Lonchura striata: one gene and its partners. The protein of the gene in region 3 interacts with the protein of the main gene of each other region in a biochemical or structural test. Links are inferred from orthologs where the notes say so. Each region holds a gene or a part of one and is shown on either strand. Other genes may lie near its edges. The genes, in order: TCERG1, PRPF40A and U2AF2.

The links.
Region 1: the proteins of U2AF2 (region 3) and TCERG1 form a complex in vitro, tested with the Homo sapiens proteins (2 studies listed by BioGRID). The link is inferred for Lonchura striata from reciprocal best matches to the Homo sapiens genes U2AF2 and TCERG1.
Region 2: the proteins of U2AF2 (region 3) and PRPF40A form a complex in vitro, tested with the Homo sapiens proteins (2 studies listed by BioGRID). The link is inferred for Lonchura striata from reciprocal best matches to the Homo sapiens genes U2AF2 and PRPF40A.

Annotation. Positions count from the first base shown.
Region 1 is NC_134617.1:454,926-462,342, forward strand, and holds the start of TCERG1 (transcription elongation regulator 1), read right to left. Parts: upstream 3,029-7,417; coding exon 2,804-3,028; intron 416-2,803; coding exon 263-415; intron 1-262. UniProt on the Homo sapiens protein: Transcription factor that binds RNA polymerase II and inhibits the elongation of transcripts from target promoters. Regulates transcription elongation in a TATA box-dependent manner.
Region 2 is NC_134610.1:1,400,878-1,407,897, forward strand, and holds the start of PRPF40A (pre-mRNA-processing factor 40 homolog A), read left to right. Parts: upstream 1-3,968; 5' UTR 3,969-4,021; coding exon 4,022-4,057; intron 4,058-6,435; coding exon 6,436-6,573; intron 6,574-7,020.
Region 3 is NC_134640.1:2,651,088-2,658,771, forward strand, and holds the start of U2AF2 (splicing factor U2AF 65 kDa subunit), read left to right. Parts: upstream 1-4,598; 5' UTR 4,599-4,749; coding exon 4,750-4,798; intron 4,799-7,684. UniProt on the Homo sapiens protein: Plays a role in pre-mRNA splicing and 3'-end processing. By recruiting PRPF19 and the PRP19C/Prp19 complex/NTC/Nineteen complex to the RNA polymerase II C-terminal domain (CTD), and thereby pre-mRNA, may couple transcription to splicing.

The DNA of each region.
Region 1 (7,417 bases), on a different chromosome or scaffold from region 3:
GGCCCCGTCACACTGAGGCTCACTGTGGGACGGCGGCCCCGCCACGGCATGCATCCCAGCCACCTGGATATCCCAGCCCAGCCACACCGTGGGACAGCAGCCCTGCCACCCAGGCCATCCCAGCCCCGCCATGGCAGGCATCCCAGCCACCTGGATATCCCAGCCCTGCCACAACACGGGACGGTGGCCCCACCACCTGGATATCCCAGCCCAGCCAGCGTGCCCAGGGTCACAGCAGGACCACCCACAGCCCCCATCTCACCTTCCCATCTGGAGTTTTGTTCTCTACCCAGATCTCCTCAGCTGGGGGCATTGCTGGTGTTCCCGGCGCGGAGACCGGCGGCATTCCTGGAGGGAACATCATACCAGGAGGTGGTGGCATGCTACCCATGGGAGGAGGCATAAATGGTGGTCTCTAAAGGCATATAATAACAATAATGATGATAATGACAACAACAATACAATTTCAAGCAGATTTCCTTTCTTAGAGAACCAACAGACACTACACCAACAGTAAGGACAGCTGTGCCAGACTTAGAAGCTTCTCTAATGATCCAGTGCTCCCAGCTCAGGGAATGTGCTCCCAAGCCAACCCCCCACCCATGGCAGAACAGCTGAAGCCATCACTTCTGAGATACAAATGTGCAGGCACCTAAAAAAGGTAGCATGAACAGAAATGTGGTCAAAGTCCTCTCCTGAAAAGAAGAAAATATGTCAATGGAAGGAAGAGAAAGAATGGAAGACCCAAATAGCTGTTGCTCAGACATTGCCATCTATGAACCAAATACCCCAGAAATACAACAACCGTCCCAGGAAAGATATGTTAGAAAAACCCAAATTACAAGTAAGCATCCAGTTTGTCAGTACAGCTGAGCAGTGTGTTAATTAAAATACATTACACAACTAAATTTCCCACTAACTAAAATTCTAGCTAGTGCTAATTAGAATAAAAATATGAAATTACATGTTCATTATTGCATGATAAGAAATCCTGACCTGTCCTGCACACAGTTACCTGAAAGCCTGAACACCTCTGGTAATTCAAAGTACATTCAGTTCTTTCATTTTACTTATTTACTTGGACTGTTTGAAATTCCCTATATGCAACAAGTACAGTGAACGCTTCTGTAAAAAGCTGACAAAGCTCACCGAGTTCTTTAGCTCACTCTGCAAACACCTACAAGTGCCCTCATTATTAAACACCAAAGTGTTAAATTACTATTAAACACCAAAGTGCCCCGATTGTCCCCATCACTCCAGCTCTGACTGAATGACAGCCTCGAGTGCCGTGCTCACCCCGAGCCCACGGCGGGCCTGGCGCTGGGACACCCAGGACAGCCCATGGCCTGGGGACAAGCTGCACACAGGGGCCCTGAGCTGTCTCCCTGCACCCACAACTGCAGCTGTACCCCTGGCAGCTGCCAGAGCTGCCATGTCCTTGGCTTCTGCTGGGAGCTGCCCTGAGATCCAGCTTTCTCTCTAAGAGTGCTATTTGAAACTGCTCTTTAAATCCACATACCAAACTAGTAACAATTATTTGCATTAAATACTACTAAAAAAGGAAGCCAAGAGTACATGGATGGCATTCTACACAAACAAAAAAAGCCCTCAACTCAACTGCAGCCTGCCTTCCCTCCCTTCTTCTTCCCCAACAGCTCTTGCACCTGCTTCACCATGAGCTTCCTCTTTCTTGCTCTTACAACTTGCATGAAGAATCCAATGAGAAGGAGCCCAATTTCTCCCTGCTACAGCTCCTCTCCCCAGTGCATGAGTAAAACCAGGCGGGCAGTCAGTGCCAGGTGTGCAGCCAGAGTCCCAGCACACCCGTTCTGAGCAGAGGCCCTTCCCCATCACACCTGCCTCTGGCCGGAGCCCTCAGCAGGAGCAGAGCTCAGCTCAGCCCAGCCCGAGACACCAGCCATGGCTGGGGCTGCTGAGGAGCGGCAGAGCTCACAGCCTGTGTGACACCTGGGAGCAGCAGCACTCCCTGCATGGAAACCAAACACAGGAGACACCCACAGCCAGGCCTGGCATCCAAAGTAACTCTGGTTGGTTCTTCAAACTGTAATTACAAATAGTGGATTTAATCCACAATGGCACGTGGTGCCATTCAGCTCCTCAGCATACCCACGGCCCACACGGCACTGATACTGCCTTAATGGGAAGGCACCCCCACAAAGCTATTAAATAACAGAATCCCTTTCTCATTCACAAAGGTGCTGTCCCTTGCAAACTCAGGCCTTAGAAAATCAAACACAAGACCTTAAACCATCCATCAGTTTAGCAGCAGAGGAGCTGAGCAAAAACTGTATTTGCACAGCACAGGTATGCAGAGGGGTGTAACACCTCACCTGAACACTGTGCTCTCATCCTGCCTTCCTGTTCCTTCACCCACTTCAGTGTCCATTCTCACACTATCTCCACACAATCACAGACGAGTTACATTGGAAAAGACCTCCCAGCCCATCGAGTCCAACCTGTGCCCCATCCGCACCTTGTCACCCGGCCTAGAGCACCGAGTGCCACATCCCATTGTTCCCTGGAGACCTCCAGGGAAGGGGACTCCAGCACCACCCTGAGCCTCCTTTTGTCCATGCTGAGCCCTGCAAGATGCCTCAGCTGCCCCTCAGCTGCCCTAGACTTGTACTCTAGACTCTCCACCAGCTCTACTGCGGTTCTCTGGACACGCTCCAGACCTCCACGTCCTTCCTGAACTCGAGGAGCCCAGAGGTGGACACCTCCATGTGTGAAAGCAAACGAAACCCCCTGAATGCCACCTAACCAACTCCGGAGAACGCCTTACCTGCAGGTGCGGAGGCCCCATGGGCGGGGGGATCCCCCCCGGCGGCGGCATCGGGGGCATGCTGGGGTCGAAGGGGGGTCGGCCGAAGGGGGGCCGGGGGGGCGGAGGAGGGCCCCGCATCATCCCGAAGGGCGGGGGCGGCCGCAGGAGGGGCGGGGGGCCGCGCAGCACCGCGCTGGGGGGCGGCGCGGGGCCACGGAACCGCAGCGCCTGCTGCTGAGCCATCCTGCGGAGAGAGGCACAGGAACACGGGTCACTGCCGGCCGCGGCTGCACGGGGACCAGCTGCGGCAGGATCCGGGGAAACCGAGACACCGACAGCGGGAGCCAAACGGGTCACGTTTGAGCGGGTGAAACCAAATGTGTGACTACTTCAACATGTACTTCTGCCACACAATTAGAGGTTATCAGTGCTCAAGTGTGAATTTCGCCTCGTGCAAATGGCCAAGCAGATAACAACAATACAATTTCAAGCAGATTTCCTTTCTTAGAGAACCAACAGACACTACACCAACAGTAAGGACAGCAGAGCTGGGATGGGGTAGGCAGCCACTGGGAAGCGCATCCTTCCTTATCTGCCAGAGCTCCTGAGCACGACCTGGAGCTCGGGCTGCTGCCTGCAACTGCGTCCGGGCCCTGCGGCCGGCCGTGCCCGGAGTGCCGGCTCTGCAGCGCCGGGGCTGCCAGGGGCTCTGTGTGCCGGGAGGACGGACCGGGGCAGGGCAGTGTCCGGGGCAGGGCCGGACCCGGGGCAGGGCCGTGTCCGGGGCAGGGCCGGACCCGGGGCAGGGCCGTGTCCGGGGCAGGGCCGGACCCGGGGCAGGGCCGTGTCCGGGGCAGGGCCGGACCCCGGCAGGCCCGGCCCGAGCGCCGCGGTCTCGCGCTGAGCCGGCCGGCGCTCCGCACGGGCTCTCAGAACCCGCCGCCGTCCGGAGCGGCGCACGCTGCCCTGCGGCTCCGGGACACGGCTTTACCAGCCCCGAGCGTAGGGCCACACAACGGGCCAGTGGGGGCCCAGGCGGGGGACGACACCAGATGCGGCCTGTCCGCACCCGGAGCGGAGCCGCCGCCGCCCGGCCCCACGCCCGGGAGCGGCCCCGGCCGGTGAGCGGGAACAGGGCCCGTCCCGTCGCACGCGGGGCGGGAATGCGGGCGGGAGAGCCGCCCCGGCCCGCCCCGCCAGCCCCGGCCCCGCCGGGCACGCCGGTCTCGGCCCGGCCCGGCCCGGCCGCCGTACCGGAGGTCGGTGCCGAAGCGCTCGCCCGCCGCCGCCGCCTCCCCGTCGCCGCCGCCGCCCCGCTCCGCCATGGCCGCCGCCGTCGCGCGCAGCCGCCCCACCCCCCCGCGGGCCCCGCCGCGCCCCATTGGCCGTCGGGCCTGCCCGTCAGCGCGCTCGGGGCCCAGCCCGCTCCGCCATTGGCCGTCCGGCCCTCCCGTCAGCGCGCGCGGGGCCCAGCCCGCCCCGCCATTGGCCGCCGCGCCCGCCGGCTCTGAATGGGGGGAGCCGGGCGCGCCGCCATTGGCCATGCCGCTCGCGCCTGCGGTCACGTGAGGCGCGGCCCGGGGAGGGGAGCGGAAGTGACTCGCGCCGCAGGGGGAAGGGGAAGAGCAGCGTCCAATCAGCGGGCGGAACCACATGCGCCAATCAGCGCCCGCAGCCCCAGACCACACAGGGAATGTCCCGTCCCGTGACGTCACGGGGCGCTCAGCCAATGAGCGATCCCGGCGGGGGGAGCGCGGCGGCCGCCAGGGGGCGCTGTGTGCGCGGGGGCGCCGGGGAACGGGGGGGAGCGGGAGGGGTCCGGGGAACCGGGGGGGAACCGGGGGAGCGGGAGGGGTCCGGGGAACCGGGGGGGGGGTCCGGGGAACCGGGGGGGAACCGGGGGAGCGGGAGGGGTCCGGGGGAGCGGGAGGGGTCCGGGGAACCGGGGGGGAACCGGGGGAGCGGGAGGGGTCCGGGGGAGCGGGAGGGGTCCGGGGAACCGGGGGGGAACCGGGGGAGCGGGAGGGGTCCGGGGAACCGGGGGAGGGTCTGGGGAACCAGGGGGGAACCGGGGGAACGGGAGAGGTCCGGGAAACCGGGGGAGCGGGAGGGGTCCGGGGAACCGGGGTGTCCGGGGAACCGGGGGGGTCTGGGGGAACGGGAAACCGGGGGAGAACCGGGGGCTCCAGCTCCGGGTGGGCACTGCCAGCCCCGGGTGAGCCCTGCGGTGGGCACTGCCAGCCCCGGGAGCGTTTGGGGGACATCCAGCGCTGCTGGGCAGCACCGGCGGCTGCAGCGCTCGGTGCGCAGGAGCCGCCAGGGACGTGTTCCCGGGACGTGCAGCTGCTTTCGCGATCCCACGTCCCATTCCTGCTCTCAATAGGAAGATCTGTCTTCTCTTAGATCGACAATAGGGAATTCCTCGGGGGCCTTTTGGGGGTGCTGAGCCACGGAGACTCACCCACCCCGGTGTCGCTGCGGGGTCTGTATTCTCGGGGTTTGCTGGATTTTGCTGCCGCTGTGAGGTCTGGGATGGGCCGGGGGTGCTGGGCTCCCCGGAGCCTGCCCGTGTGTCTGCCCGGTGCCCAGGCCGGGCCCTGCACAGTGCCTCTGCTCTCCTCACCAGCACTTCTGTGCCACACATTAAAACTGCTTTGCCCACGAGTGCTCAAATCCTCCACACACAGTGCGGCTGCCTGTCTTCCACGCGTCTTTCATCCTCTTTTTATCTCCCTGTTCCCCGGTTGTCTCCATGTTTTATTGATGTCAAGCGGGCGGGAGCAGCTGCAGGGCCTTCTCCCAGGTTCAGGGGGGCTGGAGCTGCTGCTGTACCCTAGCTCCCTCATCTCTGTGTTCTCAGAACATTCCAGTCAGGAATTCTCAGCGTGCAGCTCCTTCAGGGGCAGTTGGTTAGCAGTGAGCTGCAAAACACGAGGCATTTTGACAAATCTGCTGGCAGCTCCCTGTGCTGCAGGACGTGGCTCTTGGCAGCAGTACAATTTACTGTGATTGATACACACTTCCCTGGATTTCACTGAAACCAAGGATCCCAAAGGCTTGACTGGCTGCTTGCCTGGACACTCTCCCTAACTCCCGTGGGCTCTGGGGGTGCAGGTGCCAGGGGACTGAGCAGCAGGCTCTGTTCATCCCCTCAGGAAGCCGTGGGACTGTTCCTGGGGCTGGGAGGGCATTGCTGACCGTGCTCCTTGGGGAATGGGGCTGTGGCAAGCCCTGGAGCCAGGGGAAATCTCTCTGGGGGAATCCCACACCCACACCCGTTGCAGAGCTAGTGGATCTGCTGATGGAATTCTGCAAATGGAATGGCTGTGGGTGCACTGGGGATCCAGGTTTCCCAGAAAAGTCTGCAGCTGGAACCCCCACTGCAGCCCTGGTCCCCTGTCTCTGCTGCCAACCCTTCCCAGAGCCGTTGTTCCCTGGCTGGAAAGCTGCTGGCTGTGCCAGATACCAGCACAGAGCTGCTCTGCTGCTGCCAGTGCTGCTGCTCTTGCCCCAGAAATTGTTCCCAGGGAGGTTTTCAACTGGGGACCTCCTCAAGTATTTGGATCTCTGTAGTTTTTGAAAGGCTGTTTATGACAGTCTGAGTTCTCTGCCAGAAGGAATCCTGAAGCCCCACAGTGTGGATGTTCCCCTCAGACCTGCCCATGTTCTTGTGTTTTCTTGGTCCAGGGTGAGTGGCCTTCTTCATCCCGGTTGCAGCTCTGTCCCTGAGCTGGTTTCAGCAGCAAGGCTCCTGGTGCAGTGTGGCAGCCCCTGAGCTGCTCTGGGCTCCCACTGCTGGGACTGGCCCCTGCCGCGGAGCTGCAGCAGCCATGGGGTTGTGTCATCTCAGAGACGCCAACATCCTGCCATTCTTTTTTCATTTCTTCAGATTTCAGGTTGAAGTGTGATGACAAATAAAAATTTTGCCCTGAGCTGTCTGCAGGGCCTCTGGGCTGCTGCGGTGCCAGCATCTGCCAGGGAGAGCCCCAGATGCCATGCTGGAGGGTGGCAGTGGGGGGAGGCTCCTGCTGGCACCGAGGTGCCCCGCTTTCCCAGCCTCACGGATCACTGCTGGAGCTGGGGCTGAGGCCATGGGGAGACCCCCATCCCCTCCAGCCGTGGGGGCCCTGGGGGCCATGGCTGCTGTGCCCCTGCTTAGCCTTGGAGCTGGGCTGGCGAGTTCTAAGGCCTCGTGGGGCATCTGGGCATCTGGGCATTGTGGGGAGCAAGTGGGACTGGGCATTACTGAAATTTAACAGGGCACCTCCTGTGTGTGGGCATGGCGCAGCACGGCTCGGTGTGCTGCACCCAGACTCTGGGCACGGAGCTCCCCAGTCTGGTCCCAGGCTTTCCCTGTAGTTACATGAAAACATCCCATTTTTTCCTCTACACATGGAGCCTGCAGATTCCCTCCTACAGGGAAAAAGGGGTGCAGGCTCAGCCATGGTAAGAGCAGCAGATGGCCGGGGGGTCTGAGAGGTGCCCCGTGTCAGGCAGGGCAGGGGTTAGCCCAAAGGAGCTCACTGGAGGTGATGGCTGCAAAGAGCCCAGCAGAGCAGAGCCCGGCCCGGCTGCCTGCAGCACATCACCTCTGCAGCTCCTTGGCCTGCGGGGACAGTGCCACTGGCCCTG
Region 2 (7,020 bases), on a different chromosome or scaffold from region 3:
CGGGGCTGGAGCCGCGGCTCCGGCAGCCAAACCGCGTTTTCCCGGGAATGCCAGAATTCCAAAGGCACGGGAAATGAAAAATCCATTTCCAAGTCCTCTCCTTTCCCTCCTTGCCCGGCCGCCGATTCAGGATGCCGGGACAAGCCGAGATTCCCTGTGCGAGCCCTCTCCCTGCTGGCCGCTCCAGGAATTCGCCTGGAATTCTCTGCCTTTCCACAGGAAATCCTGGGAAACACCCGAGAGCAATTTTATATTCAGTTTACAGGAAATAAAAGTTTTTCTACGAGAAAAAATAAAGATCACTGGTTAAATATATTCCAGCTAACAGGTAAAATTCCATGGAAAGGGAATTCCAGAGCTCATTGTCCCAAATATCTTATATTCCAGAATTCCATGTTTCAGAATTTGCGTTGCAGAATTTAAATTTCAGGGGTTTTATTTCAAAATTTGCGTTCCTGAATTTTTATTTCAGAATTTTCACTTCTGTTTTTATTTTGGAGGTTTTTATTCCTGAATTCGCATTTCAGAATTTGCGTCTCGGGGTTTTTTATCTCAGAGTTTGCGTTTTCAAATTTACATTGCACAGTTTTCTATTTTAGAACTTTCAGCTCAGATTTTTTTATTTCAGAATTTCTATTTCAGAATCTGCAATTCAGAATTTTTATTTCAGAATTTCTATTTCAGAATTTCTATTTCAGAATCTGCAATTCAGAATTTTTATTTCAGAATTTTTATTTCAGCATTTCTATTTTCAGAATTTCTATTTTCAGAATTTCTATTTTCAGAATCTGCAATTCAAAAGTTTTATTTCAGAATTTTTACTTCAAAGTTCTCTTATTTCAGAATTTGTATTACAATTTTTAAAAAATTTTGGAGTTCTGTATTTCCTACAAATCCTGCCTGAAAATCCAGGTTAAAAAGCAGAAGTTTCCTCCAGGATCAGGAAGAAGAGTGAAGGATTGGATGCTCTATCAAAATTTCTGTAAAAACACAAAAAAAAGTTTAAAAAATCAGGAAAAAAAATTAAATCAATTCACTTGATTTGGACTGATTTGAGGCAGCTGTGCTTAAAAATAAAGAAATAAAAATACTCCAAGTACTAAAGTTACACCTTGGGCTGCCAAAAGCAGCTGTGCCCCGCTGGAGCTCTGCTCCCTGCACACCGGGAGAGACTGAAATGAGATTTCAAGATTTAATTGAAAATCAATTTAAATTTTAATTTCACTGCTTGATCATGGCCGAAAAATCGGATTAATCAAGACCTTTTTGGGTGGATTTAGAGAATTCTTTAAGCTCGGGGAGGTGAGGGTTGGTGTTTATCCCAAGAGTCCAAGGAAGAACCTGGGAGAGGGGAGGTGTCCCTGCCCACGGGAATGTGGGATTGCAGGAATTTTTGTCCTTTTTTATCCCAATAATTCCATATTTCCATGAGCCGAGCCAAACCAGCCCCTGGCTGACAGCAGCCACGGGATTGATTAAATATCTGTACCCCAAAATGCAAAATGAGGTGTTTGAAAACCGTGGAGGCGTGTGGAAATCCAGGAATATCATGGAAAATAAATCCACATCCCTGACGATCCCTCTGCTCAAGGGGAAGAACGAGACATGGGCAGGGGACAGGAAAATATTCCAAGTTTTGTAACTTCAGGAAGAAAAACATGGATAAATAAACATGCCAAGGGGGCAGAGATCATTCCCTGGATATCCTGAGTCGTTCCGCTTTGGAGTCCCCACTTAAATTCATTTATCCCGCAGAATTGGGGATTCTGGCTGGGAGGGATTTTGGGAATTGGGAATTCTGGCTGGGAGGGTGGGCTGGAATTCCCAAAGAAGCTGAGGCTGCCCCTGGCACAGCCACGGCCTCGCAGCTGCCAGAGCTCCCGGAGCGCGTCCCGATCCCAGCGGGACATTCCCGATTCCCAACGGGACATTCCCCATTCCCAATGGGACACTGCCCATTCCTCCGGGACATTCCTGATCCCCAGCAGGACACTCCCCATTCCCAATGGGACATTTCCAATGGAACATTCCTGGTTCCCAATGGGACATTCCCAGCGGGACACTCCCGGTTCCCAACGGGACATTCCCGGTTCCCATTCCCGATCCCAGCGGGACACTCTCGGTTCCCAATGGGACATTCCCGGTTCCTATTCCCGGTTCCCAATGGGACATTCCTGGTTCTCAATGGGACATTCCCGGTTCCCATTCCCGATCCCAGCGGGACACTCTCGGTTCCCAATGGGACATTCCCGGTTCCTATTCCCGGTTCCCAATGGGACATTCCCGGTTCCCAATGGGACATTCCCGGTTCCTATTTCCGGTTCCCAATGGGACATTACTGGTTCCCATTCCCAATCCCAGCGGGACATTCTCCATTCCCAATGGGACATTCCCATATTCTCAATGGGACATTCCCTGTTCCCATTTCCCGGTTCCCATTCCCTGTTCCCATTTCCCGGTTCCCACTCCCGGTTCCCATTCCCGATCCCAGAGGGACATTCCCATATTCTCAATGGGACATTCCCTGTTCCCATTCCCTGTTCCCATTTCCCGGTTCCCATTCCCTGTTCCCATTTCCCGGTTCCCACTCCCGGTTCCCATTCCCGATCCCAGAGGGACATTCCCATATTCTCAATGGGACATTCCCTGTTCCCATTTCCCGGTTCCCATTCCCTGTTCCCATTTCCCGGTTCCCACTCCCGGTTCCCATTCCCGATCCCAGAGGGACATTCCCTGTTCCCATTTCCCGGTTCCCATTCCCTGTTCCCATTTCCCGGTTCCCACTCCCTGTTCCCATTCCCGATCCCAGCGGGACATTCCCTGTTCCCATTCCCGATCCCAGCGGGACATTCCCTGTTCCCATTCCCTGTTCCCATTTCCCGGTTCCCATTCCCATTCCCTGTTCCCATTCCCGATCCCAGCGGGACATTCCCTGTTCCCATTCCCGGTTCCCATTCCCGGTTCCCATTCCCGGTTCCCATTCCCGATCCCAGAGGGACATTCCCGGTTCCCATTCCCTGTTCCCATTCCCGGTTCCCATTCCCGGTTCCAGCGGGACATTCCTCATTCCCAATGGGACATTCCCTGTTCCCATTCCCTGTTCCCATTCCCTGTTCCCATTTCCCGGTTCCCATTCCCATTCCCGGTTCCCATTCCCTGTTCCCATTCCCTGTTCCCATTCCCGGTTCCCATTCCCTGTTCCCATTCCCGGTTCCCATTCCCGGTTCCCATTCCCGATCCCAGCGGGACATTTCCTGTTCCCATTCCCGGTTCCCATTCCCGGTTCCCATTCCCATTCCCGGTTCCCATTCCCGATCCCCGCGGCCGCTCCCCTCAGCGGCACCAACCACTGCGCGCGGCCCGGGGGGGGGACCGGCGCCACCCCGGCCGCGCTCGGCACGTACCACCGTCACGCAGAGGGGGGGGTACACTGACCCGGCGCGTACCACCCGCGTCCGCCTGAGGGGAGCTCTACCGCCACCTCCCGCCGAGTTGGAGCTGCGGCGCGCGAAACCACCCCCTCCTTCCGGCGCTGTTGGTGCCGCCCGGCGCAGCGCGCACCTCCCCCGGCCCCACGTGAGCGCTCTCCCGGCGTGCCCCGCGCTCGGCCGCCGCAGCCGCCGCTCCGCTCCGCGCGCCGCGCTCCCGGCCGAGCCGCCCGCGCCGCCGCGGGGCCGCCCCGCTCCCCGCCAGCATGTCCGGCGGCGACTCCACCGCCGCGGCCGCCGCCGCCTCCCCGCAGCCTCTGCCGTTCTCTCTGCCGAAACCGCCGCCCCTGATGCAGCTGACTCCGGGCGACGCGGTGCGGCCGGTGGGCTCGGGCGCGGACCAATCGCCGAAGAGCGCGCGGCTGGCGGCGCGGCCCGATTGGCCGGCGGGGAAGCCGGTCAGCCTGCTGGCGCCGCTGCTGCCGCCCCGCGGCGAGCCCGAGCCGCTGCTGCCCTTCGGGCCCGCCGCGCCGCGCCCGCCCCTGCGCGGCCGCCTGCTGGGCCGCTGCGGCGGCTCGCTGCTCAGCCCCGCCATGCGCCCCGCCGCCGTGGACCGCGCCTCGCTCATGGTCAGTGCCGCGCCGGGCCGGGGGAGCGGGGGCAAATCCATGAACGGGCTCGGGGAGCTGGCCCGCGCGGGGGTGGAGTTCCTGCTCCTGTGCAGGTGGGATTCCTGGGTATCGGTTCTTGTCTGTAAAACCCTCTCTGGGCACCTGGAGCCCGCACAGGGAAGGAGTTCTTGCGTGTGTTCCTGGGCATCAGTCCCTGCCCATCAGACCTCTCTGGGCACCTGGAGCCCGCACAGGGAAGGAGTTCTTGCTTGTGTTCCTGGGCATCAGTCCCTGCCCATCAGACCTCTCTGGGCACCTGGAGCTCATACAGGGAAGGAGTTCTTGCTTGTGTTCCTGGGCATCAGTCCGTGCCCATCAGACCTCTCTGGGCACCTGGAGCTCATACAGGGAAGGAGTTCTTGCTTGTGTTCCTGGGCATCAGTCCCTGCCCATCAGACCTCTCTGGGCACCTGGAGCTCATACAGGGAAGGAGTTCTTGCTTGTGTTCCTGGGCATCAGTCCGTGCCCATCAGACCCTCTCTGGGCACCTGGAGCCCACACAGGGAAGGAGTTCCTGCTCCTGTGCAGGTGGCACCTCGTGGGTATCGGTTCTTGTCTGTAAAGCCCTCTCTGGGCACCTGGAGCCCGCACAGGGAAGGAGTTCTTGCTTGTGTTCCTGGGCATCAGTCCGTGCCCATCAGACCTCTCTGGGCACCTGGAGACCACACAAGGAAGGAGATCCTGTTCCTCTGCTGGTGCCATTCCTGCGCATCAGTCCCTGCCTGTCAAATCCTCCCTGGGCACCTGGCACCTGTATAAGGATGGAGTTCCTGCTCCTGTGCAGGTGGCACTACCTGGGCGTCAGTCCCTGCCCATCAGACCCTCTCTGGGCATCTAGAGCCCGAATAAGGAAGGAGTTCTTCCTTGTGTTCCTGGGCATCAGTCCCTGCCCATCAGACCTCTCTGGGTACCTGGAGCTCACACAAGGAAGGAGTTCCTGTTCCTGTGCAGATGGCATTCCTGGGCATCAGTCCCTGATAGTCACCTGCACAGAGAAGGAATTCTTGGTCCTCTGCTGGTGGCATTCCTGCGCATCACTCCTTGCCTGTCACCCACGCAAGGATGGAGTTCTTGCTTCTGTGCAAGTGGCACTTCCAGGTGGCACTTCCTGGGCATCAGTCCCTGCCCATCAGACCTCTCTGGGCACCTGGAGCCCACACAAGGAAGGAGATCCTGCTCCTGTGCAGGTGGCATTCCTGGGCATCAGTCCCTGCCTGTCACCCACACAGAGAAGGAATTCTTGGTCCTGTGTAGGTGGCACTTCCTGGGCATCAGTCCCTGCCCATCAGACCCTCTCTGGGCACCTGGAGCTCACACAGGGAAGGAGTTCTTGCTTGTGTTCCTGGGCATCAGTCCCTGCCCATCAGAGCTCTCTGGGCACCTGGAGCCCACACAAGGAAGGAGTTCCTGCTCCTGTGCAGGTGGCACTTCCTGGGCATCAGTCCTTGCCTGTCACCCACGCAAGGATGGAGTTCTTGCTTCTGTGCAAGTGGCACTTCCAGGTGGCACTTCCTAGGCATCAGTCCCTGTCCATCAAACCCTCTCTGGGCACCTGACACCCTCACAGGGAAGGAGTTCCTGCTCCTGTGCAGGTGGCATTCCTGGGCATCAGTCCCTGCCTGTCACCCACACAAGGAAGGAGTTCTTGGTCCTGTGCTGGTGGGGCTTCCTAGGCATCAGTCCCTGCCCACCAAACCCTCTCTGGGCAGTGATGCCCGCACAGGGAAGGAATTCTTGGTAGTGTGCAGGAGGCACTTCCTGGGCATCACTCCCTGCCCATCAAACCCTCTCTGGCACCTGGAGCCCACACAGGAAGAAGTTCCTACTCGTGTGCAGGTGGGGCTTTTTGGGCATGAGTCCCTGCCCCCCAAACCCTCTCTGGGCACCTGTCACCCACACAAGGAAGGAATCATTGAAAAACTGAAAGGTGCGGAAATTAAGGGAGAATTCCTCCCCTGTGAGGGTGGGGATTCCTGGGGTGGAATTCCAGGCTGCCTCATCCCTGGAAGTGTCCAAGGCTAGGTTGGAGCACCTGGGACAGTGGAAGGTGTCCCAGAGGCTGAAACTGGAGGCATTCAGGTCCCTCCTACCCAAACCATTCTGGGATTGTGTCTTCAATAATTTGGTTTTTTTTTTCCCTTTCCTGCTAACTATATTTTCCAAATGGAAACTCTGCCTGGGTTTTATCCTAAGGAACTCCGAGAGCTGTGGAACAGAAATCTCTGGGAGTGTTTGAATCCCTGAAAAGCCCAGGGAAGGGGATCTCCTTTTCCCCCTGCTGGGTGTGTCTGGGGCGCTCGCCTCGCCGCTGATTTTTTTCCCTGGTTGTTTTCCAGATGGGCCACCCGGGAATGCCCCACTACCCCCCGATGGGGATGCACCCCATGGGGCAGAGACCCCCCAACATGCCCCCGGTCCCCCACGGGATGATGCCGCAGATGATGCCCCCCATGGGGGGACCCCCGATGGGGCAGGTAAGGCAATTCCAGCAGCTCCTGCTCCATCCCTCAGGAAAAGGGATCCCTCCAGCTCCCTGGGAGAGGGAGAGGAGAGAATTCGGGAGTTTATCCTAACCGGGGGAAAACCCTTCTTACGGGCAGCAGGGAGTGGATGCACCTTGGTGACTTCAGTTAGTAATTGGTATGGGAGCAGGTAATTAATGCACCTCTAGCTTCATTTTCAATCCAGAATTTGGGATCGAGTCAAGTTTTTTGGAATGAAAACAGATAATGTAATGCACCTCTTAATTTTCAATCCAGAATTTGGGATTGATTCAAGTTGTTTTTTGGAAGGAGAAAAGGTAATTAATGCACCTGTAACTTGAATTATCAATCAATATATTGGGATCGATTCATGTTTTTTGGAATGGGAAAAGATAATTAATGCACCTCTATTTTTCAGTCCATAGATTGGAATTGAGT
Region 3 (7,684 bases):
AGCGTTCCCGAAAAACGGGAATTCCCGGAATTCCGTCAGTCCGGGGGTGCTTCGGGGGCGCTGCGAGGGGATTGTGGGGGCTTGAAAGGGTTAAAATTGGATTTGTGGGGTTAAAATTGGATTTTTGGGGTTAAAATTGGGATTTTGGGGGGTTGAAAGGGTTAAAATTGGAGTTTCTGGGGTTAAATTGGGATTTGTGGGGAGTTGAAAGGGTTAAAACTGGATTGGGGGGGTTGAAAGGGTTAAAATTGGGGATTTTGGGGTTAAAATTGGGATTTTTGGGGAGTTGAAAGGGTTAAAATTGGATTTTTGGGGAGTTGAAAAGGTTAAAATGGGAGTTTTGGGGTTAAAATTGGGATTTTTGGGGACTTGAAAGGGTTAAAATTGGATTTTTGGATTTAAAATTGGATTTTTGGGAGTTGAAAGGGTTAAAATTGGGGATTTTGGGGTTAAAATTGGGATTTTGGGGTTAAAATTGGGATTTTGGGGTTAAAATTGGGATTTGTGGGGAGTTGAAAGGGTTAAAATTGGATTTTTGGGGTTAAAATTGGGATTTTTTGGGGAGTTGAAAGGGTTAAAATTGGATTTTTGGAGGGTTTAAAGGAATTTTTGGGGTGAAAATTGGAAGGTTTTGGGTTTAAATGGGATTTTATGGGTGTAAATGGATTCTGGGCCGGTGGAGCCGAGGAGGAGGACTGAGCATTCCCGGAAAAACGGGAATTCCCGGAATTCCGTCAGTCCGGGGGGCGCTGCAAGGGTTAACGTGGGGGTTTTGGGGGTTAAATTGGGATTGTGGGGAGTTGAAAGGGTTAAAATCGGATTTGTGGGGAGTTGAAAGGGTTAAAATGGGAGTTTCTGGGGTTAAAATTGGATTTTTGGGGTTAAAATTGGGATTTGTGGGGAGTTGAAAGGGTTAAAATTGGGGATTTTGGGGTTAAGATTGGATTTTTAGGGAGTTGAAAGGGTTAAAATTGGATTTGTGGGGAGTTGAAAGGGTTAAAATGGGAGTTTTGGGGTTAAAATTGGATTTTTCGGGGGTTGAAAGGGTTAAAATTGGGGATTTTTGGGGAGTTGAAAGGGTTAAAAATGGATTTTTGGAAGTTTTAAAGGGGATTTTGGGGTTAAAATTGGAAGGTTTTGGGTTTAAATGGGATTCTGGGCCGGTGGAGCCGAGGACGAGGAGGAGGACTGAGCCTTCCCGAAAAACGGGAATTCCCGGAATTCCGTCAGTCCGGGGGGTGCTTCGGGGGCGCTGCGAGGGTTAAAGTTGGATTTTGGGGGGGTTGAAAGGGTTAAAATGGGAGTTTCTGGGGTTAAAATTGGATTTTTGGGGTTAAAATTGGGATTTGTGGGGAGTTGAAAGGGTTAAAATTGGGGATTTTTGGGGGGTTGAAAGGGTTAAAATTGGGGATTTTGGGGTTAAAATTGGGATTTTGGGGTTAAAATTGGGATTTTGGGGTGTTAAAAGGGTTAAAATTGGATTTTTGGGAGTTAAATTGGGATTTTTGGGGGGTTGAAAGGGTTAAAATTTATTTTTGGGGGTTTTTGGGATCTGGGGCTGGAATTTTGGGAATTTTGGGATCCGGGGCTGGAATTTTGGGAATTTTGGGATCCGACGTTGGAATTTCAGGATCCGGGGTTGGAATTTCAGGATCCGGGGTTGGAATTTTGGAATTTTGGGATCCGAGGTTGGAATTTTGGGATCTGACGTTGGAATTATGGGATCTGGGGCTGGAATTTTGGGAATTTCCGGATCCGAGGTTGGAATTTCGGGATCCGGGGCTGGAATTTTGGGAATTTCCGGATCCGGGGCGGGAATTTTGGGAATTTCGGGATCCGAGGTTGGAATTTTGGGATCCGAGGTTGGAATTTCGGGATCTGGGGCTGGAATTTTGGGAATTTCGGGATCCGAGGTTGGAATTTCGGGATCCGGGGCTGGAATTTTGGGATCTGGGGCTGGAATTTTGGGAATTTCGGGATCCGGGGCTGGAATTTTGGGAATTTTGGGATCCAGGGCTGGAGTTTTGGGAATTTTGGGATCCGGGGCTGGAATTTTGGGAATTTCGGGATCCGGGGCTGGAATTTTGGGAATTTCGGGATCCGGGGCTGGAATTTTGGGGATTTCGGGATCCGAGGTTGGAATTTCGGGATCCGAGGTTGGAATTTTGGGAATTTCGGGATCCGGGGCTGGAATTTTGGGAATTTCGGGATCCGAGGTTGGAATTTCGGGATCCGGGGCTGGAATTTTGGGAATTTCGGGGCCCCCCGTGATGGCAGCACTGGGCTCTGACCCCTGATGGATCCCTGTGCCCCTCCCCCACGCGGGGGGGTCTGAGGGGGCCCCAAATCCCAAATCCCCCAATTTGGGGCGAAAGTCGGGAACTTTTTGGGGAGAATTTCGGGAATTTTGGGGGAAAACTTCAAGAATTTTTGGGAAGAATTTTGGGGAATTTTTTGGGGGGGAATTTTGGGATTTTTTTGGAGGGGAATTTCTTGGGGGGGAATTCTGGGAATTTTTGGGGGAATTTCAGAAATTTTTGGGGGCATTTTGGGAATTTTTTTTTGGGATTTTGAGAATTTTTGAAGGGAGTTTCGGGAATATTTTGGGGGAATTTCCAAATTTTTGGGGGGGAATTTTGGGAATTTTATTGCGGTACTTCTGGGAATTTTTTGGAGGGAATTTTGGAATTTTTTTGGGGAGAATTTTGGGGAATTTTTTTTGGGAATTTCAGGAATTTTCTGAGGGAATTTTTTGTGGGAATTTCAGGAATTTTCTGGAGGGAATTTTGGGAATTTTTGGGGGAAATTTTGGGAATTTCGGGCTGGAATTAACCCTTTGTTGTCTTGCCTCCAGGTGACGCCGCCGGAAGTTCGGAGTGGGGAAATTCCCGTCAATAAAAATTGAAATTTAAAAATGAAAAATTAAAATATTTTTGGTTTTTTTTTTTCTGAGAGCTGCCCCAGCTGGGCCTGGCACACCTGGGACAAAAAAGACCGAAAAAAGGGAAAAAGGGAAAAAGCAGGAAGAAAATACTATAAAAAGGGGAAAAAGAGGGAAAAAAAGATCGAAAAATGGGGAAAAAAGGGAAAACAGGGGAAGAAAAGGGGGAAAAAAGGGGAGAAAAAGGAAAAAAAGACAGAAAAAAGGGGAAAAATGGGGGGAAAAGGGGAATAAAAGGAAGAAAAGACTGAAAAAAGGGATAAAAGGGGGAAAAAGGGGAAAAAAGGCACAAAAGCGGAAAAAGGGGAAAAAAAGACTAAATAGAGGAAAAAAGGTGGAGGGAAGGAAAAAAAGACAGAAAAAAGGGGAAAAATGGGGGAAAAAGGGGAATAAAAGGAAAAAAAGACTGAAAAAAGGGGGAAAATGGGGAAGAAAAGACTGAAAAAAAGGGGAAAAATGGGGAAAAAGACCGAGAGAAGAGGGGAAAAGAGGGGAAAATGGGGAAAAAAGGGGAAGAAAAGACAGAAAAAAGGGGAAAAAAGGGAAAAAAAAGACCGAAAAAAGAGGGGGAAAGGGAAAAAAGGAATAAAAGGGGGAAAAAGGGGAAAAAAGGCACAAAAGGGGAAAAAGGGAAAAAAAAAAAGCCTAAAAAAGGGAAAAAAGGGGGAGGGAAGGAAAAAAAGACTGAAAAAAGGGGAAAAATGGGGGAAGAAAAGACTGAAAAAAGGGGAAAAATGGGGGAAAAGGGGGAATAAAATGAAAAAAAGACTGAAAAAAGGGGAAAAATGTGGGGAAAAGGGGGAATATAAGGAAAAAAAGACTGAAAAAAGGGGGAAAAGGGGAAGAAAAGACAGAAAAAAGGGGAAAAATGGGGGGAAAGGGGGAATATAAGGAAAAAAAGACTGAAAAAAGGGGGAAAAGGGGGGAAAAAAAGACAGAAAAAAGGGGAAAAAGGGGAAAAAGACCGAGAGAAGAGGGGAAAAGAGGGGAAAATGGGGAAAAAAGGGGAAGAAAAGACAGAAAAAAGGGGAAAAAAAGGAAAAAAGACCGAAAAAAGAGGGGAAAAGGGGAAAAAGGGGAAAAAGAGGAAAAAGGGAAAAAAGGGGAAAAAGGGGAAAAAGGGAAAAAAGGGGGAAAAGGGGAAAAAAGGGAAAAAAGGGGAAAAAAGGGGAAAAAGGGGAAAAAAGGGGAAAAAAGGGAAAAAAGGGGAAAAAGGGAAAAAGGGAAAAAAGGGGAAAAAGGGGAAAAAGGGGAAAAAGGGGAAAAAGGGGAAAAAGGGGAAAAAGGGGAAAAAGGGGAAAAGGGGAAAAAGGGAAAAAGGGAAAAAGGGAAAAAGGGGAAAAAGGGGAAAAAAGGGGGAAAAGGGGAAAAAGGACAAAAGGGGAAAAAGGGGAAAAAAGGGGAAAAAGGGGAAAAAGGGGAAAAAGGGAAAAAAGGGAAAAAGGGGAAAAAGGGGAGCGGGCTTCGGGCCCGAGCGGGGCCGGGAAGCGGCGGGAAAAGCCGAGCGGGGCCGGAAGTTCCCGAGCGGCGCCGGAAATTCCCGAGCGGCGCCGGAAGTTCCGAGCGGGACCGGAAGCGCCGAGCGCTGGCGGGAGTTCCCGAGCGCCGCCGGGAATTGCCGAAGCGGCGGCGGAAGGAGCCGAAGGCGCGGCCGGAAGCGGCCGAGCGCGGCCGGAAGCGGCGGAGCGCGGGCGGAGGCGGCGCGGCCTGAGGGCGGCCGTGAGGAGCGGGGAGGCGCCGGGAGAGCTCCGGGAAAGCTCCGGGGAGGCGCCGGGAAAGCTCCGGGAGGCTCCCGGGGAGCCGCCGCCATGTCCGACTTCGACGAGTTCGAGCGGCAGCTGAACGAGAACAAACAAGGTACCGGCCCCGCCCCCCCCACGGGCCGCGCCTCACGGGGGGGGGGAACGGGGGAGACCCCCCCAAAAATTGGGGGAGACCCCCCCCCACCACCCCAGCCCAAATTTGGGGTTCCCCCCCCCCCGGTTTTGGGGTTCCTCCAGTCCCGGTTTGGGTTCTCCCCCCGAAAATTTGGGTTCGACTTTCGGTGCCCCCCCCTCCCCTTCCCCAAATTGGGCTCGTCCGCCATTGGTTTTGACCCCCCCCCCAATTTTGGGGTTCGCCCTCCCCAAATTTGGGGATCCCCTTCTAAATTTGGGGTCCCCCCCACACGAATTTGGGATCCCCCTCTTAATTTGGGGTCCCCCCACACGAATTTGGGATCCCCCCTCTCCAATTTTGACCCCCCCCCCCAATTTTGGGGTTCGCCCTCCCTAATTTGGAGACCCCCCCCTCTTAATTTGGGGTTCCCCCACCCCAAATTTGGGGATCCCCCCTCTTAATTTGGGGTCCCCCCTCTCCAATTTTGACCCCCACCCCCAATTTTGGGGTTCGCCCTCCCTAATTTGGGGATCCCCCCCTCTTAATTTGGGGTTTCCCCACCCCAATTTTGACCCCACCCCAAAATTTGGGGACCCCGCTCTTAATTTGGGGTTCCCCCACCCCAATTTTGTCCCCCACCTCCAATTTTTGGGGTCCCCCCACCCCAAATTTGGGGACCCCCCTCTTAATTTGGGGTCCCCCCACACGAATTTGGGGTCTCCCCCATTCCAATTTTGACCCCACCCCAAAATTTGGGGTCCCCCCACCCCAAATTTCGGGATCCCCCTCTTAATTTAAGGTCCCTCCTCAAGAATTTGGGATCCCCCCCCATTCCAATTTTGACCTCCACCCCAAAATTTGGGGTCCCCCCACCCCAAATTTGGGGATCCCCCTCTTAATTTGGGGTTCCCCCTCCCCAAATTTGGGGATCCCCTTCTTAATTTGGGGTCCCTCCTCACGAATTTGGGATCCCCCCCATTCCAATTTTGACCCCCACCCCAATTTTTGACCCCCACCCCAAATTTGGGGATCCCCCCTCCTAATTTGAGGTCCCCCCTCCCCAAATTTGGGGACTCCCCTCTTAATTTGGGGTCCCCCCCACGGGAATTTGGGGTCCCCCCCTCCCCAATTTTTGACCCCACCCCAATTTTGGGGAACCCCCCCCCTCGAATTTTGGATCCCCCCAAATTTTGGGTTCATCCTTCGTGACCCCCTCCCCCAAATTTTGGGGTCCCCTCCTCCAATTTTGGATCCCCCCCAAATTTTGGGATAATTTTGGGTTTTTCCCCCACAATTTTGGGATAATTTTGGGGTTTTACCTCCCAATTTTGGGATAATTTTGGATTTTTCCCCTCACAATTTTGGGATAATTTTGGGTTTTTTCCCCCCCCAATTTTGGGAGAATTTGGGGTTTTTTCCACCCAAATTTTGGGATAATTTTGGGTCTTTTCCCCCCCCAATTTTGGGATAATTTTGGATTTTTCCCCTCACAATTTTGGGATAATTTTGGGGTTTCCTCCCCCCCCAATTTTGGGATAATTTTGGGGTTTTTTCCACCCAAATTTTGGGATAATTCTGGGTCTTTTCCCCCCCAATTTTGGGATAATTTTGGGGTTTTACCTCCCAATTTTGGGATAATTTTGGATTTTTCCCCTCACAGTTTTGGGATAATTTTGGGTTTTTCCCCCCCCCAACCAATTTTGGGATAATTTTGGTTTTTTTCCACTTTTTTGGGGTTGATTTTGGGGTATTTTCTCCCCTCGCAGAGCGGGACAAGGAGAACCGGGGGTTTGGATTAGTTTGAGTTTATTTTATGATATGTTGGGTTATTTTGGTTTATTTTAGGTTTATTTTAGGTTTATTTTGGGTTAATTTTGGCCCATTTTGGGTTAATTTGGGGCCATTTTGGGTTAATTTGGGGCCATTTTGGGTTAATTTGGGGCCATTTTGGGTTAATTTTGGCCCATTTTGGGTGTTTTCTCCCCTCGCAGAGCGGGACAAGGAGAACCGGGGGTTTGGGTTAGTTTGGGATATTTTGGTTTATTTTAGGTTTATTTTGGGTTTATTTTGGGATATTTTGGGTATCTTTGGGGCTATTTTGGGTTAATTTGGGGCCATTTTGGGTTAATTTTGGGCCATTTTGGGTGTTTTCTCCCCTCGCAGAGTGGGACAAGGAGAACCGGGGGTTTGGGTTAGTTTGGGATATTTTGGGTTGATTTGGGGTATATTTTGGGTTTATTTTGTGATTTTTGGGCCATTTTGGGTTAATTTTGGCCCATTTTGGGTTAATTTTGGCCCATATTGGGTTAATTTTGGGCCATTTTGGGTGTTTTCTCCCCTCGCAGAGCGGGACAAGGAGAACCGGGGGTTTGGGTTAGTTTGGGTTTATTTTATGATATGTTGGGTTATTTTGGGATATTTTGGGTTATTTTGGGATATTTTGGGTAAATTTTGGGATATTTTGGGATATTTGGGTTGATTTTGGGACTTTTCCTCCCCTTGCAGAGTGGGACAAGGAGAACCGGGGGTTTGGCTTGTTTGTGATATTTTGGTTTATTTTAGGTTTATTTTGGGCTTATTTTGAGCTATTTTGGGTTAATTTTGGGCCATTTTGGGTTAATTTTGAGCTATTTTGGGTTAATTTTGGGCCATTTTGGGTTAATTTTGGGCCATTTTGGGTTAATTTTGGTGCATTTTGGGTGTTTTCTCCCCTTGCAGAGCGGGACAAGGAGAACCGGGGGTTTGGGTTAGTTTGGGATATTTTGGTTTATTTTAGGTTTATTTTGGGATATTTTGGGATATTTCGGGTTAATTTTGGGTTAATTTTGGCCCATTTTGGGTTAATTTTGAGCTATTTTGGGTTAA